2 linked regions of the Macaca fascicularis genome follow. The protein of the gene in region 2 interacts with the protein of the main gene of each other region in a pairwise test. Links are inferred from orthologs where the notes say so. Each region holds a gene or a part of one and is shown on either strand. Other genes may lie near its edges.

Region 1 (7,543 bases), on a different chromosome or scaffold from region 2:
TGAACCCCAGTGAGAGAACCTGGAGCAGCTGGCTTTTTCTGAAGTCAGCTCAGCTCCATAATCTACTTTAGAGCAAGCACCTCAAATATGCAGACTGCACTCTCCTCTCGGCCCCAACTCTTAATCCTGGTTAGTTATAATGTTAAAGTGTTAAGTGTTATAATGGTGAAAATGAAAAAGGCTATTAAAGCAAAGGCCTTTTTTTTGAGACCGAGTCTCGCTCTGTCACCCAGGCTGGAGTACAGTGGCGAGATCTCACCTCACTGCAGCCTCCGCCTCCCAGGTTCAAGCAATTCTCCTGCCTCAGCTTCCCAAGTAGCTGGAATTATAGGCGCGTGCCACCACACCCGGCTAATTTTTGTATTTTGAGTAGAGACGGGGTTTTACCATGTTGGTCAGGCTGGTCTCGAACTCCTGGCCTCAAGTGATCCACCCGCTTCAGTCTCCCAAAATGCTGGGGTTACAAGCGTGAGCCACCACACCCTGCTGCAAAGGCCTTTTTTCACTTGTCATAAATCGTACCTCCCTAGCCCCTCCTCCAAGAGCCTAAAAAAATTTAGCAAAAAAATTTGTCTTTGTAAAGATCTGACAATATCCTTTTTTGGGGGTAGGGGGTGGTGCTGTTGGCCACAGTCTATTCTTATTCAAAACATTATTTACTGAGACTAAAAGGTTACAGAATTCTGAAATATACATACCCTCCACTGAGACGTGTACAAACTGCCAGGTGCCTGTCTATGCCAGACATTTCATACCTACTATCTCCCTTCATGTGGGCAGCCCTGCAAGGCCAGTGGTTATTATTCCCATTTTACATATGAGGGAACTGAGGATCAGAGTGGTTAAGAAACTCACCTAAGGTCACATCAGCAAGTGAAGACTAGTCCCAATATTTAAAACCAGTCTGTGTATTTCTAAAGCCTGTGCTCTTAGTCATTCATCAAGATAATGTTTTTCAAACAGTACAGACTCACGGACCCAGTAGTATCAACATCAAAAGCATTAGTAACAGTTGGTTCTAAAATCTTTTGCAAAAGTAAGTATCCTTTAAAAGAAAATCATGTCCTTGTGGTTGGGCACGGTGGCTCACACCTGTGGCCCCAGGACTTTGGGAGGCCAAGGCGGGTGGCTTGCCTGAGGTCAGGAGTTCAAGACCAGCCTGGTCAACATGGTGAAACCCCGTCTCTACTAAAAATACAAAGAGTTAGCCGGGTGTGGTAGCAGGTGTCATAATCCCAGCTACTTGGGAGGCTGAGGCAGGAGAATTGCTTGAACCTGGGAGGCAGAGGTTGCAGTGAGCTGAGATTGTGCCACTGCACTCCAGCCCGGGTGCCAGAGTGAGACTCAGTCTCAAAAAAAAAGAAAGAAAAAGAAAGGAAGAAAAGAAAAGAAAAGAAAATCATGTCCTTGTATTCACTGAAGAATGCCCTGCACCAGTGCTTCATGATGGGTGACTGGGGGGCAGATGAATCTCTAATCTGCGCCACACTGTTAGGGATAACCGGTGCAGCCACAGAGGGCTCCCTGCCTATGTCTGGGCTGTAATGATTTGCAACCAGGCACATGTTTTGTGGGCACCAACTACTGAACTACAAATGTGCAAATAAGTATGATGTGCTGGGATGCCTCTCCTTGAATCTGTGCTAACTAGAAGGTCAGACTGTCCTTTAAACACTTAGAACTATTAATCTGGATGAGGTCAGGTGCTACAAATTCCAAGTAAATCTACCACACTCTCCTGTTTTCCTGTAGAGTGAGCTACATTACATTTGACTGAGTTACATAGGGAAGAAAATATGTATTTAAGACAATAACAAAATTAATTCTATGGAGGCAATGAAGTGTAGTAAAAGGAATATGGATTTCCAAGAGGCCTTGAGGCCTGTGTTCAAATTCTAGTCCCACCTCCTATGACTTTGGGCAAGTGACTGCATTTCCCTGCATTCGGCTTCCTCATCTGTAAAATGAGGATAATTATACTTCTATCTCACATGAATCTTTTGATACTGAATAAAATAATAAAGTACTCAGCATATAGTAGGGTTCAATAAATGGTAGCTAATTATAGCCCACTCTATATAAGATACAAAGGCCCACCCATTCTACTCCTTCCCATTCACCACCACAAAAGATGAAAGGTTTGCAACTCTAGTTTCAGGCCAGGTGTGGTAGCTTACACCTTTATTCCCAGCACTTTAGGAGGCCGAGGCAGGTGAGTCACTTGAGCCCAGAAGTTCAAGACAAGCCTGGAGAACACGGTAAAACCCCCACCTCTACAAAAAATACAAAAAAATTAGCTGGGTGTGGTGGGGGTGCACTGTAGTCCCAGCTACCCAGGAGGATGAGGCAGGAGGATCACCTGAGCCCAGAAGGTTGAGGCTGCAGAAGTGTGATCACGTCACTGCACTCCAGCCTGGGTGACAAAGTGAGACTGTCTCAAAAAAAACTCTAGAACTCTAGTTTCAGTAAACTACTTCAAGCGGCATTTATAATATAATTCAAACATATAATGGAGTCTAAACCACTCTTTTCTAACACAGTTTGATGTACTTTACATTTAACCCAGGCCTTATGAATAAATCACTGGTTACAGAAGCACTAATAAGATACATGCTGGCTTTTCCAAAGCAAAGGGTCACAGAAGCTGATATAAAAATGAAACAAACATCCCAGGTGACAAGTGACCTTTCCCCATTTCTTGATTTTACTGTTTTTTCCTTCTTCCTGCAAAAGGTGGCGCATGTAATATCAAGGCAAACACAGCAGCAACCCATTACTTACAGATGCAGTGGTCACCGTGCAAGGCACCTCTCCGCGATGGACACTCATCATGGTAGAAAAGGCAGAAACGACTCCCTGGGCATTGCTTAAGCGACCATTTTCCGCAAGCAAATCTGGCAGAGTGAAGGTGTCTCAGTAACACGAAACTCACCTGAACAAGTTATTCATGAAGCCGTATACTCAACCCAAAAAACAAACTTAGATGTGTGGCCTTAAAACACCATATTCAGGGGTGCATGCCTATAATCCCAACTACTGGAGGCTGAGGCGCAAAGATTGCTTGAGGCCATGAGTTCAAGACCAGCCAACATAGCGAGATCCCAACTCTACAAAAAAACGTTAGGGCTTGGTGGTGCATGTCTAGAGTCCCAGCTATTCAGGAGGATGAGGCAGGAAGATTGCTTGAGCCTAGGAGTTTAAGGCTGCAGTGTGCTATGATTGTCTTACTGCACCCCAGCCTGGGTGACAGAGTAAGATCTTGTCTCTTAAAATCACAATATATTCAATGTCCTTTAAGAATATGAATGGAGGCTGAGTGCAGTGGCTCACGCCTATAATCCTAGCACTTTGGGAGGCCGAGGTGGGCAGACAGCTTGCGTCCAGGATTTTGAGACCAGCCTGGGTAACATGGTGAAACCCCGTCTCTACCAAAAAAAAAAAAAAAAAAAAAACCTCAAAAGTTAGCTGGGCATGGTGGGGCATGCTTGTAGTTCCAGCTACTCAGGAGGCTGAGGAAGAAGGATCACTTAAGCTCAGGTGGCAGAGGCTGCAGTGAGCCGAGACTGTGCCACTGCACTCCAGCTTTGGTGACAGAAAGAGACACCCAGTCTCAAAAAAAAAGAATGAAGATACAACTTGTTATTTAAAATGCATATTCGATTTTGTTTTTTTAAATAGACTGTACTGACAAGGATTTAAATTAGTAGGTATGGGGGGTTCTCACCCATACAGGTCTGCAACAGACCTCTTGTACTGAGCTTGCAATCTGATTTTCATATTTACGTTACAGATTATACGTTTGGCTACAAATTCAAAGATGATACCGTAAACACACTTTCTTTGCAATTTTTATTTTGAGCTGGCTATGACGATCTGAAAAGCAATCCAGGCCTCATGGTGGCTCACGCCTGTAATCCCAACACTTTGGGAAGCCAAGGTAGGCAGATGGCTTGAGCCCAGGAGTTCAAGACCAGGCTGGGCAACATGGAGAAACCCCATCTCTACAAAAAATACAAAAAATTAGCTGGGTGTGGTGGCATGCACCTGTATTCCCAGCTACTAGGGAGGCTGAGGTGGGAGGAGCACCTGAGTCTGGGAGGTTGAGGGTGCAGTGAGCTGAGATCGTGCCACTGTACTCCAGCCTGAGTGACAGAGTAAGACTCTGTCTCAATGAAGAAAAAAAAGAAAAAAGAGAGAAAAGCAGTCCAAATGTACCCAAGAATGCAAATGTCTCCAAGGATCAAGGTATACCCACAGGCCACAAACCATTTTCTTGGTAGGTATCATATTGGCTGCCTCCACAGTTGAAACTACTGACTATGCAATTAGACACGCTTAGGTCCTAGCATCCTTTAGACAGTGCTCCTCACACTTTAATATGCAAACAATTCACTTAGGGAGCTGCTTAAGATGCAGACTCTGATTCAGCAGGTGAGGCCTGAGATTCTTCACTGCCAACAGGCTCCCAGGTGATGCTGATGCCCATGGTCCATGGACCACATTTCCAGTCACGGTTTTAAGACACCTCAAATGAAAAAGTTCTAATACTCACTGATCAGGTTGGTGGTGAGGGGAGAGAACCTCTCTTTTGCTGTGATGTCATTTAGGCTTTTCACTTTAATAGAACGCTTCACATAGGGATTCAAAACAGAAGCAGCCACTTTGGGTTCCTTCAGGATTTGCTGAAAGTGTAAAAAAAAATTTCTTAAATTTTTTAGAGCACAAATGAAGGATGTGCCATGCACACACTTTCTTCTTTTTTGGAGACAAAGTCTTGCTCTGTCGCCTAGGCTGGAGTGCAGTGGCACAATCTTGGCTCACGCAACCTCTGCATCCTGGGTTCAAGCGATTCTCCTGCCTCAGCCTCCCAGATAGCTGGGATTACAGGTGTGCGCCACCATGTCTGACTAATTTTTGTATTTTTAGTAGAAAAGGGGTTTTGCCATGTTGGCCAGGCTGGTCTTAAACTCCTGACCTCAAGTGATCCACCCACCTCGGCCTCCCAAAGTGCTGCGATTACAGGCATGAGCCACTGTGCCTGGCCATACACACACTTTCTTATGAATTAAGTATTTTATGAATTAAATTAGCACTGCCAAAGAACTTATGACAAAAATATTATAATCAAACAATTTTCTGACGGCCTTTCAGAATACACTGCACTGCACCAGGATTTTATATAGGATAGAATGATGTTCCTCAAAAAAATTTAAAAATACTGTATGAAATTTCTTAAATTTATTTTTGCTTTTCAAGAAAGATTATAAAACACTAAGCAGCCAAACTTCACTTGACTGCATATTTTAATGTATTTAAGAGTATTAGTCTGGCTTTTCTAGCAGTGCTATTTCTAAAGTGCAGACCTCAAAACTGTGCTCTGACTGCAGAGGCCTCCTCACTGCTCCCTTGGAGGGGTCCTGCCTCTTACAGTGTCCAGGGAACCCAGCAGATTCTGCGAGACCTCTGGTGCTGCCAGAGCAGCCAGACCCAAAGAGTCTGGGAGACAGAGTGGACAAAAAACGGGAGCACAACCATCATGGGAAACGACCTTCTTCTCATTTTGTTATATCACAAATATCTGCATTCAGTGACCAAGTGCAGCTTCCAGCATGTTGCTCCAGAGTTCCAACAAACCAACAATGGCAGCTTCCAGTCAAGCACCTTCAGTTAACACACCTCTCTATGCCTCAATTACTCTCCTAGCACCTCCTCCCAGGCTCCTGGCCAGAATCCTGTCTCTGATCCAGGATACTGGTCAGATACTATCATCCAATGCTAACATTTCCACTTGAGTGACCCCACAGAAATGACATTTTTCCATAAAAAATGCAGGCATACACAGATTGAAAGCATTCTGGAATTTGGGTTACCTAGTTTTTCATGTTTATCTGTGTCTCCTGCATCATCCAGAGGACAGTGAGTATGATGCTTGCATTATCCTTCCCTCTTAATGCCAAAACTCTGCTAATATTCAGAGTGTCTTCAGATAATTGCCTCCCTTTTTCTCCATGTCTTGACTGACTTCCAGGCTTTAGACAAACTCCATTCTAATGCCCACAATCCAAGTCATTCTCTCCATTGTAAACACGATTGTTTCTGTTTAAAATGGGCATAACTGACAAGTAGCAGACAATAACCATCACCTCCAAAAACGCCTGTGTGAGACCCCGTCTGTTCCTGCATGCCCTTCCTCCAAATGTCTCCAACAACAGGGCTGGGTTCCTGGGCTCTGTGAGAATCATTAAGAGTTTATCACACCAGCTAAGACCTTAAGCATTATCTGCAGAGGTAAATGGATCAAGGAAGGAATATGGAGCTAAAATTATTCTGCCTGTTAAGACGGAAGTTCCAACAGAAGCTCAAGTGAAAAATGAATAAAACATAAACAGTACAGAACAGTAATACTTATAGACTATACACACGATGATTAATATAGAACATAAGAATTATTATTCTATACAACTGGCCTATGAACTGTTTTTCCTAAACAATAAAAACTTACAGACATATGAATTAAGGAATGAAGAATCTTTTTTTTGTTTTTGAGACAGAGTCTTGTTCTGTTACCCAGGCTGGAGTACAATGGCATGATCTCGGCTCACTGCAAGCTCCGCCTCCCGGGTTCACGCCATTCTCCTGCCTCAGCCTCCCCAGCAGCTGGGACTACAGGCACATGCCGCCATGCCGGGCTTTTTTGTATTTTTAGTAGAGATGGGGTTTCACCATGTTAGCCAGGATGGTCTCGATCTCCTGACCTCATGATCTACCCGTCTCGGCCTCCCAAAGTGTTGGGATTACAGGTGTAAGCCACTGCGCCCGGCCAAGGAATGAAGAATCTTAAAATCAAGAAAGAACAAAACTTCCTCCGAAGAGGCTATATACCAGACTGCGTCTCCTTCACCTTTTTTAATGCAGACCTTACTGCCAGTGGTAGCAGCCAGAAAATCAAAGAAAGAAGCAACAGAATGTGTAGAAACTTGTTAACTAGAAAATTCAGTGAAAATGAAAGCAGACATTCTCCTATTGAGTTACAATGTAGGCTTCTGTTAATACGGTTTATTTATTCTGCTTTTCATGTTTAAAAAAAAGTTACAAACATCCTGCAGCGGCCTCACAGTCTTTGCCTGTCAGTCCTCTATTACCCCTGGGAAGCCCATACCCCTTTACTAACTCTGCTGCCCAGCGTGCCCCAGCCTGTCATTCTTCTGTCACATTTTGGGAACAAAATAACAATGAAAAGGTCTACATGGTTACTTCTGGGGTTCTGACAATTGCAAAGCATCTCTACCAAATGAAAACAACCTGTAAGACATGTCTGAGCCTCCTCTGATTCTACAAGCATAGAATATGGCAATTAAAACCCGAGGCAAAGGTTTTATGAAAACAAATTCTCCGTAAAACCCAATCACAATATATTCTAAAGACCTAGCCCAGAAGCATATAATCTTTTTTTTTTTTTTTTTTTTTTTTTTTTTGAGATAGTCTTGCACCATCACCCAGGCTGGAGTGCAATGGTGCGATCTCAGCTCACTGCAGCCTCGGC
Region 2 (8,270 bases):
AAAATGTAGTATGTGTGTATATGTGTGGAGTGGGAGTGTGTACATATATGTGGTGGCTCGTTGGTGTTTGGTGGTGGGAGTGTGTGTGGGTGTGAGGAGAAGTGGGAATGTATGTTGAGGTTGGGAGAGTGGCATAGTGTACATGGAACGGGAGGAGGGTGTATGTTATCCGGAGAGTACTGAGGGGGAGATGACAGTGAATGTGTCCAGAGTGTGAGAGGTCGGCTGAGTGCATGCCTGATGCTGGTGGGAATGGAGGGGAAAGTTATGTGAATGGTGGGTAGTGGGTGAAGACATGCCGAGTGTTTGTGGTAAGTGAAGCTGAGCGTATCTGTTGGGAACCAAGGCAAGTATGTGGAGATGTGTTTGTGACAGGAGGAAAGGGATGTACAGACGTGAAGCGAATATGTGCACCGAAAAATCTGGAAGAACATACATTACCCCTTATAAACTTGTCGAATGGCTCAGCTATAATTTTAAAACCTTATTAGGGAAAAGCTCACTGAACACAATATTCATGTAGTAACTTTAGATTCACTGAGGACCTCAAAAGATGGATATCTTCAATCACTGAATCTTTGCCTCAAAAAAAACATGTTTTATAGCTGTATTTCCCTTTTTATATCTTCCTGTTATAAATGGCTGCTGTAAAATAAGCCGTCATTTTACACAGGTGTGATGAATTATAGTTATTTCTTCAGTGAAATAAAATGTTTAGCTGAAAAGTGATCTTAAGAGAAAAACATTGCCAGATAACCTCCTGAACCCCATTTCAAGATTTTCTAAAAAAAATTTTTTGAGAAACAGGGTCTCACTTTATCACCAGGTTGGAGTGCGGTGGGGCGATCATGGCGCACTGCAGCCTCAACCTCCTGAGCTCAAGCAATCTCCCACCTCAGCTGCCTGAGCTGCTGGGACCACAGGCCTGTGCCACCATGCCTGGCTAATTTTTAAAAATGTATGTGGAGATTGGGTCTGTGTTGCCCAGGCTGGTCTCAAAATCTTGGCTTCAGGCAATCCTCCCTAAGTGCTGGGATTACAAGTGTGAGCCACCATATCTGGTCTCTAAATTTTTTTTTTTTTTTTTTTGAGACGGAGTCTCGCTCTGTCGCCCAGGCTGGAGTGCAGTGGCGCGATCTCGGCTCACTGCAAGCTCCGCCTCCCGGGTTCACGCCATTCTCCTGCCTCAGCCTCCCGAGTAGCTGGGACTACAGGCGCCCACAACCGCGCCCGGCTAATTTTTTGTATTTTTAGTAGAGACGGGGTTTCACCGTGGTCTCGATATCCTGACCTTGTGATCCGCCCGCCTCGGCCTCCCAAAGTGCTGGGATTACAGGCGTGAGCCACCGCGCCCGGCCTAGATTTTTTTTTTTTTTTTGAGACAAGAGTCTCACTCTGTTGCCCAGGCTGCAGTGCAGTGGCGCAATCTCGGCTCACTGCAACCTCTGCCTCCCAGAGTGATTCTCCTGCCTCAGCTTCCCAAGTAGCCGGAATTAAAGGCACCCACCACCACACCCGGCTAATTTTTGTATTTTTAGTAGAAAAAACTAGATGGCTCATGCCTGTAATCCCAGCACTTTGGGAAGCCGAGGCAGGTGGATCACTTGAGGTCAGGCGTTCCAGACCAACCTGACCAACGTGGTGAAACCCATCTCTACTAAAAAAAATACAAAATTAGCTAGGTGTGGTGGCACATGCCTGTAATCCCAGCTACTCAGGAGGCTGAGGCAGGAGAATCACTTGAATCCGGGAGGCAGACGTTGCAGTGAGCTGAGATCGCTCCATTGCACTCCAGCCTGGGCAACAGAGCAAGACCCTCTCTGCCCTTAATAAAAATAAAAAATTTAAAAAATTAAAAAATAAACCAAAAAAATGTTAAGATGACAGCAAGAGGGGAAGGAAAAAAAAGGACTTGCCATTTAAATTCACATAGTATCATACAAAGCTTAAGAGTAAAATAAATGGTTTAATGACAAAGTCTTCATAAGAAAAAAGGACAGAGTTTACTTAGGCTAAAAATGTTTATACATGCCAGAAAAATGAGAAGACAACAGAATTTTTAAAATATTTTAATTTGTATATATAACTTCAAATTTAGAACACTCAGTATGAACAAGAACTATTCTCTGACAAAGATCTGAAATGGGGAAGTGAATTACTGTACAGGTGCATATCAACCTCTCCATGCAATTTACATCTGTATCTTATGCAATGAGAAACTGGTTTACACAGCTCCGTAATTGCAGTATTTTTTTAACACCCCATTTTGCAGTCTCAGAATACTTTTCAATTAAACTGATCGACATGTTTAAAGATGAGAAATATGATGTTTGCATTGTAAAGTTGAGTAATAGCTAATAAATGCACATTTCCTTCCATCAATATAAATCTGGAACTATTTATGGTAAAGAAAAATCTATCTGCGCTATCAGTAATCTAATAGTTCATACTTTTACTGAACACTTCCTGTGAGCCAGGCCCCGTAGTAAACATCTGCACATGCAATTTCACATTCAGTGTGGAATAGGAAGTGTCAGAGGTTCGTGTGTTTTTCACAACTGATTATGATGTCCATGATGACAGCGTGCACTAAGCGCTGTGTCCAACCAACCCTTTACCTGGCACTTTAGCCAGCAAGACCCACTTGCATTGTAGCAGCTCACGGTGCTCGCTTGCACAATTTTAGAATGTTACATGAATACTCAGGCCTGACTAACCTTCCCCTCCAAAAAAACAACAAAACGGAACAGGGCTAAGCCTTTACTACTCAGAGACACATCTGTAAGACCCCCACAGGGACAAGAAAACTAGCTGTGATCTAGGTCTGCACTAAAGCTGTCTTTTCTGGCACTCAGAAGTGCCCTTCCAGGCCTAACTGCAGAAGGGTGGCCTCAGCCTCCTCCTCCTCCTCCTTGGCTTCCTCCTCACGGATCTGCACCAGCAACTGAAAGAGGTTTGGGGCCGGCCCTTCCCCAGCCCCGGTAAGCCACAGCTGCCTTCGGATGGCCCCGCTGTGGTTGGCCCCAGCAATGACCTGCTCTAGGCGGGCCTGGTTCACGTTATCTTTATCAATGGCCCCCTTCTCTACCACCTTCTGTAGCAGAGGCTCCAGACGAATGACATAAGCAGACAATTTTTCTCCCGGGTTCTGATAAGTGTTCAGAAATTTGATCTGGGCATCCCTAGAGCTCTCAACGCTCCCAAACACCTGCTCAAGCGCCTTCAGGCATTCGGCAGTGGTTATCGCGGGGTTGTTGGACTTGAGGATGCGAATGACATCAGCGGCAGGGCCTCTAAGGCTCTCCATCAACCGCCGCCTCTTTTCTACATCGGACACCTGCCACTCCTCTAGGACCTCATTAGTGTGCTCCAGCCAGGGATCAAAGGTTTCCTCTCCAGGCCCTGGGATGTCCCTCCCCGAGAAAAGTGTCAGCCTCTTGTACCATATGGACTCAACAAGAGGCTGAATAACATTATCCAAAATATAGTTTAGCATCTCTGCTGGCATCTCTGGGCCCGGGGTCGGAGTAGGGTTCTGAAACCCAAGGACACGCGCAACATCTTGCACGGTCCACCCCTCTCTAGCTAGGAAGAGGTGCAATCTTTCTAAAAATTCAGCATCAGAAGTTGGGGGCTTAAACAACACTTTCCAGACCCCTCCTTTGCCCGGCATCTCCCTGGGGATCGCGGCGTAATCGACAGCGCCAGTGAGCTCTAATAAGGCTGCTTTCGCATTTTCTTCCCTCCAGAACATTCTCCCAAGCATTCGGTAGGGGACCTGGGGCATCGCTGCCTGGAGGGTCTCTTCGATTTCAGCCTCATCACAGTTCACTGGGATGCCCCAGACCAACAGAGCTCTCTGGGAGTTCACATCCATCCCCCGGCACCAGTCTTCCAACAGTGTCATCGCCATTTTCTCAACTATCAAGACGCCAATTCTACCAACAGACTGTGGCTCACCGTACTCCTGGCCTTAGAACAATACCAGACACTCCCACCAAATAGGCCCAAGGGAGGTAGGCTTCATGCATTCACGACTAACAAAGACACAGAGTCCTGATCTCGCCCTTCTCTGCCCCCCCAGTCAGTCCGTAGGTACACTTGGAGCTGAGCTCGGGGACGCTGAGGAAGTCACGCGGCCGTCGCCATCTTGCGTCTGGGTCCGGGTCCGGTCGGGTCTGCCGCTTGCAGCCGGGCTGTCGCGTCGTCGTGCAGCGGGCAAGGAGCGAGGGCGGGCGGCGAAGGCAGGCGCGCTGGGTCGAAAGCAGCCGGGGTGTGGTCGCGGGGCGTGCCCGCCGGGCGCTCGCTGCGGCTCCTGGAGAGGATCGGGCGTTCGCGGTCGCAGCCCGGTCTTCCCGCGGGCGAGGAGCGGCCGTTTGGGAGACTAGCCAGAGGGAGAGACTGTGCCGAAGTCGCGGCGGCTGCGGGCCAGCGGAGAGCGGCTTCTTGGAGGGCGTGGGGACTCCTCTTGGCGGGCGCGGGGACTCCTCTGGGCGGGCGGCGAGGACGGCCGAGGACCAGAAACGAAGGCAGCAGAGGAGCAGGAAAGCCGGAGAAGCGAGGCTGGAAACAGCACAGGCAAGGGTGGGCAGCGGCGGCCGCGGCGGCCTGCAGCGGCTCAGGCGCTGCGCGGCTGCCCCAGCGTCGAGTCCTACCCGCAACCCGCTGCGACGTTACTGCTGCAGTGGAGGATGGGGCCAGCCCGCGAGCGGCGTCAGCCCCGCCCCGTCCCGCCCCCGCGGCGGAGCCGCTCGGGCGTCGCCATGGCAACGGCGCCCCAGCTGGCGCGAATCACGCCTGCTCCGGCGGCCCGCGGGGGTCGAGCGGTTGCCATGGTGCCAGCGAGGGGCTTGGGCATTTGTTTCTCTGATGGCGCATTTCCTTTTTCATAATTTTCCATTTTAACAGCAAACAAATACTGCTAAGCACCGTGTTTTAAAAATAATAACCCAATCCTGGAGTGCATTTAAGATGATACTATTGGAAGTCATGGCATCCCTCATGGTGGACTTGTCTACTCGGGTTGCCCAGCCAGTCCACCCTGCACGTGAAAATACTCTCCTCAGAACCCTGGCTTCCCGTTACCCCTGACCACACTGTGCACCCTGCATATTTTATCCCAATGAAGCCGGAGTGCGCCATTTTTTGTGTGAGATACTGAGTTTAGACTTTTTCTTGTCTAAACTTTTGTAAACATCTGTTTGTCTGTGTCTACTGAGTCATCTTTTAGCCAGGCAAACATTAGTGTTATTTTCCTTTTCCTGGCTGGCATCGACAATAGGCTGCTAAAAGAGAATCCTTATGGCTCAAAAATGTCGAGTAATCTCCCTGCAAGCAAGACAAGGCCCACTTACATCAACCCCAGATGGTGAAAATCCCGAGAGAACATAGCATTCAACTCTGAATTTTTAAAACCTTATTTAATAAAAGGTTTAAAGATACAGAAGAACATTCAAAAGTAAATAAGTTACATAGGTACATTACAATCACATCAGCAAGATTCTTTAGTGTATTAATTTTTTCTTATAAAAAGCACACAAAAAATAAAATCTTCAGTCTCTATCACAACTGTACAGCAAAAGAGGTAATATTTATATGTATGTACACTATTTTAATATGTAACAGTCTTTTTCAAAAAGGGTGCCACAGGCAGCAAACACACAAAAGGCAGTGTCTGATCATTTTTGTTTCAAAATAAAAGGAATATACTTATTTATATGCTATTAAAATATTTGTACAATAATTACAGACTGTCAAGGCTGTTCCTGTGCTCTGTCCCCTCCAACAAGGCCTTCAACTTAGAGACAAATGAGGAAAAAGTGAAACAGCTGCAAATTGTTAGAGGCAAATATTAACATAGCAAAATGTGGGGAGGACACAATTGTTTTATAAAAATATCCCTACTTCCTGTAAACCTATGGAGTTAGGCTTGCCAGTCTGATAATAAATACCGTCCCAGAAAAGCGAGCCCCAGTGAAAACAACTAAACAGCTGAGGCTTGAGCATGTGTTGTATTCCTCCTTCATCTTAACATCTGGCACATGAGAAGAAAGAGGTTAGGTCACTGAGGCAGTTAAATATAGGCGATCCCTTTAGACATAAGCAGCAAAAGACCTTGGTGCCAGGAGTGGAAGGGGGCGCGGCAGAAGGGGTGGTATGTACCTTAGCTGTGAGGGGGGCTGCTGAAGGCATGGAGGACAGTAATGATGGCTCTGCCTCCTTGGATGGGTGGAGACCTCAGAAATGGTCTGCAGCACAGGCACTAGGTCAGTTTCCCGCCCTTAGCTGAATGCAGATGGATGCTGGGAGATGGATATGGTGAGATGGTGTGGGGAGGATGTTAAGAAAGCTGGAGGTGTTTATCACTTCTCAGAGCTCTGAATATAGGGAAAAAAACAACAAGAGACAAGCCCAGGGAGAAAGCACCATTAAGGATATACCTATGCCAGCTTCTATAGCTGCACCTACTTTATTGGCAAGTCACTTGCCACAATTACATCTACCCTCTAAACTTTTTAATTTTCACACTGTATCCAAGACATGAATGCATCCTGGAGCATGGACCTTCCTAAAATATGGTGTCTGGCAGGATTAATGCAGAGAGGTACCATCTTGATTTTCCCCAGTTACATTCACCGGGTCTGGTCTCTGTAAGCTTAGAAGAGTAGAATCACTTTCTTGTTTAAACATTTACGGCCGGGCGCGGTGGTTCACGCCTGTAATGCCAGCACTTTGGGAGGCCGAGGCGAGTGGATCACCTAAGGTCAGGAGTTCAAGACCAGCCTGTCCAACATGGCAAAACCCCGTCTCTACTAAAAAAAAAAACATACAAAAATATTAGCTGGGTGTGGTGGTGTGTGCCTGTAATCCCAGCTACTCAGGAGGCTGAAGCAGGAGAATCCTTTAACCCGAGAGGCAGAGGTTGCAGTGAGCCGAGATCGCACCACTGCACTCCAGCCTGGGCGACAGAATGGGACTCTGTCGCAAAAAAAAAAAAAATTTTTTTTCCAAGTACAAGATGTTACCACTGAACAAAAGGGTCTCCTGAATGATGGAGGTTTCTGTTACCCTATGTCCATAAAGGGGACTGAAACCAAATATGGTTTGAATAGAAAAAACCTTGGGAAACGTAAGTAGCACTTTGGGGCTAAGCTGCGAAGGCACTCGTATTATACAAGTAATTTCGAAGAGAGCCTAAATTTGCTACCCCCCTGCTTCTACAGGGTATACCAGATTTTTGCTGTCTTGGGATACTGAGCTCATGGAAACCTGTGGAGGAAACTAACCGGGAAGTTGGGGATGTAGGTAGTCATCCAAGAGTCTGGAGGGAGAAGAAATTTGTTACTTCCACAGCCGGGGTCCTGTAGAACCACATTAATGTATAAATGGATGCTGAAAAATACCTCACAGTGCACAGTTTCAAAACAAAACTCCCTCTCCACTCCCAGTTACTGACCTGACGCTTCTTGGCTATCTCGTAAGGAGTAGCAGTATGAATACTTTCTGGCTCCTTCCTAATACATTGACCTGTCATACGCGCATTCACTTAGAATTTCTTTTGCACAACTCAGTTGAGTAAGATCAGAAAAACAGCTGAGCCCCGCTCTAGCCCCGCTATGGGACTGGACGTGAAGGGGCCTCCAGAACCTCCTGGCCCTTTCACTTCACCCATGCCAAATATGGCTTCTTCAAACCACAATCCAGGCCCCATAAACCAAATTAGAATCCTGGCCTGTTGCCAATTCCCTTAGGCAAAGCACAGCCAGAGAAGGGGCAGCAAGAACTGCCTTTGATCTCCCTTGCTCTGTGTGGCTTTGGTGACACCCTCCACCTTCCCACCCTCTTCCAGTGTTGCTATCATTCCTACCGGCAAGAGCTTCCAGAGCAACCAGGTGAGGGACCTTAGGGCCTCGGGAATTCGGGGGGGATGGGGGATGTCAAGATGCCTCGTTTTGGGATAAATGCACTTGGGCCTCTGAAAAGCAGGAGGCCCCTGGTCCCTGAGAGGATGTTAAAAATTAAATACTAAGAATAAATAAATAGCTCCCAAATGACACGAGTCAAGGAATGAAGGCTCCTGTCCAATCGAGTTAGGAGACCTCTCCCTCCTAGGGAAGGATCCAGAAATCTCCAGCGTGCAGGCCTGGGGGCTGGGTTGTGGATATCGACACTGGGTGGGGTGCGGTGGGGTTAGGTGTAGCTGCTGAGGTCAGGGCAGAGGCAAGGACGCTGGCTCCCAGGACGGGCAGGCTGAGCCTCTCTGGGACCTG

Evidence for each region. The genes of interacting proteins can lie anywhere in the genome.
Region 1: the proteins of PNMA1 (region 2) and ATP5PO interact in binary tests that used the Homo sapiens proteins (3 or more experiments, as listed by UniProt). The two-hybrid records come from large-scale screens. The link is inferred for Macaca fascicularis from reciprocal best matches to the Homo sapiens genes PNMA1 and ATP5PO.

Annotation. Positions count from the first base shown.
Region 1 is NC_088377.1:13,017,439-13,024,981, reverse strand, and holds part of ATP5PO (ATP synthase peripheral stalk subunit OSCP, mitochondrial), read right to left. Parts: intron 4,683-7,543; coding exon 4,553-4,682; intron 2,895-4,552; coding exon 2,782-2,894; intron 1-2,781. UniProt on the Homo sapiens protein: Subunit OSCP, of the mitochondrial membrane ATP synthase complex (F(1)F(0) ATP synthase or Complex V) that produces ATP from ADP in the presence of a proton gradient across the membrane which is generated by electron transport complexes of the respiratory chain.
Region 2 is NC_088381.1:141,638,303-141,646,572, forward strand, and holds PNMA1 (paraneoplastic antigen Ma1), read right to left. Parts: upstream 4,679-8,270; 5' UTR 3,914-4,678; coding exon 2,852-3,913; 3' UTR 2,054-2,851; downstream 1-2,053.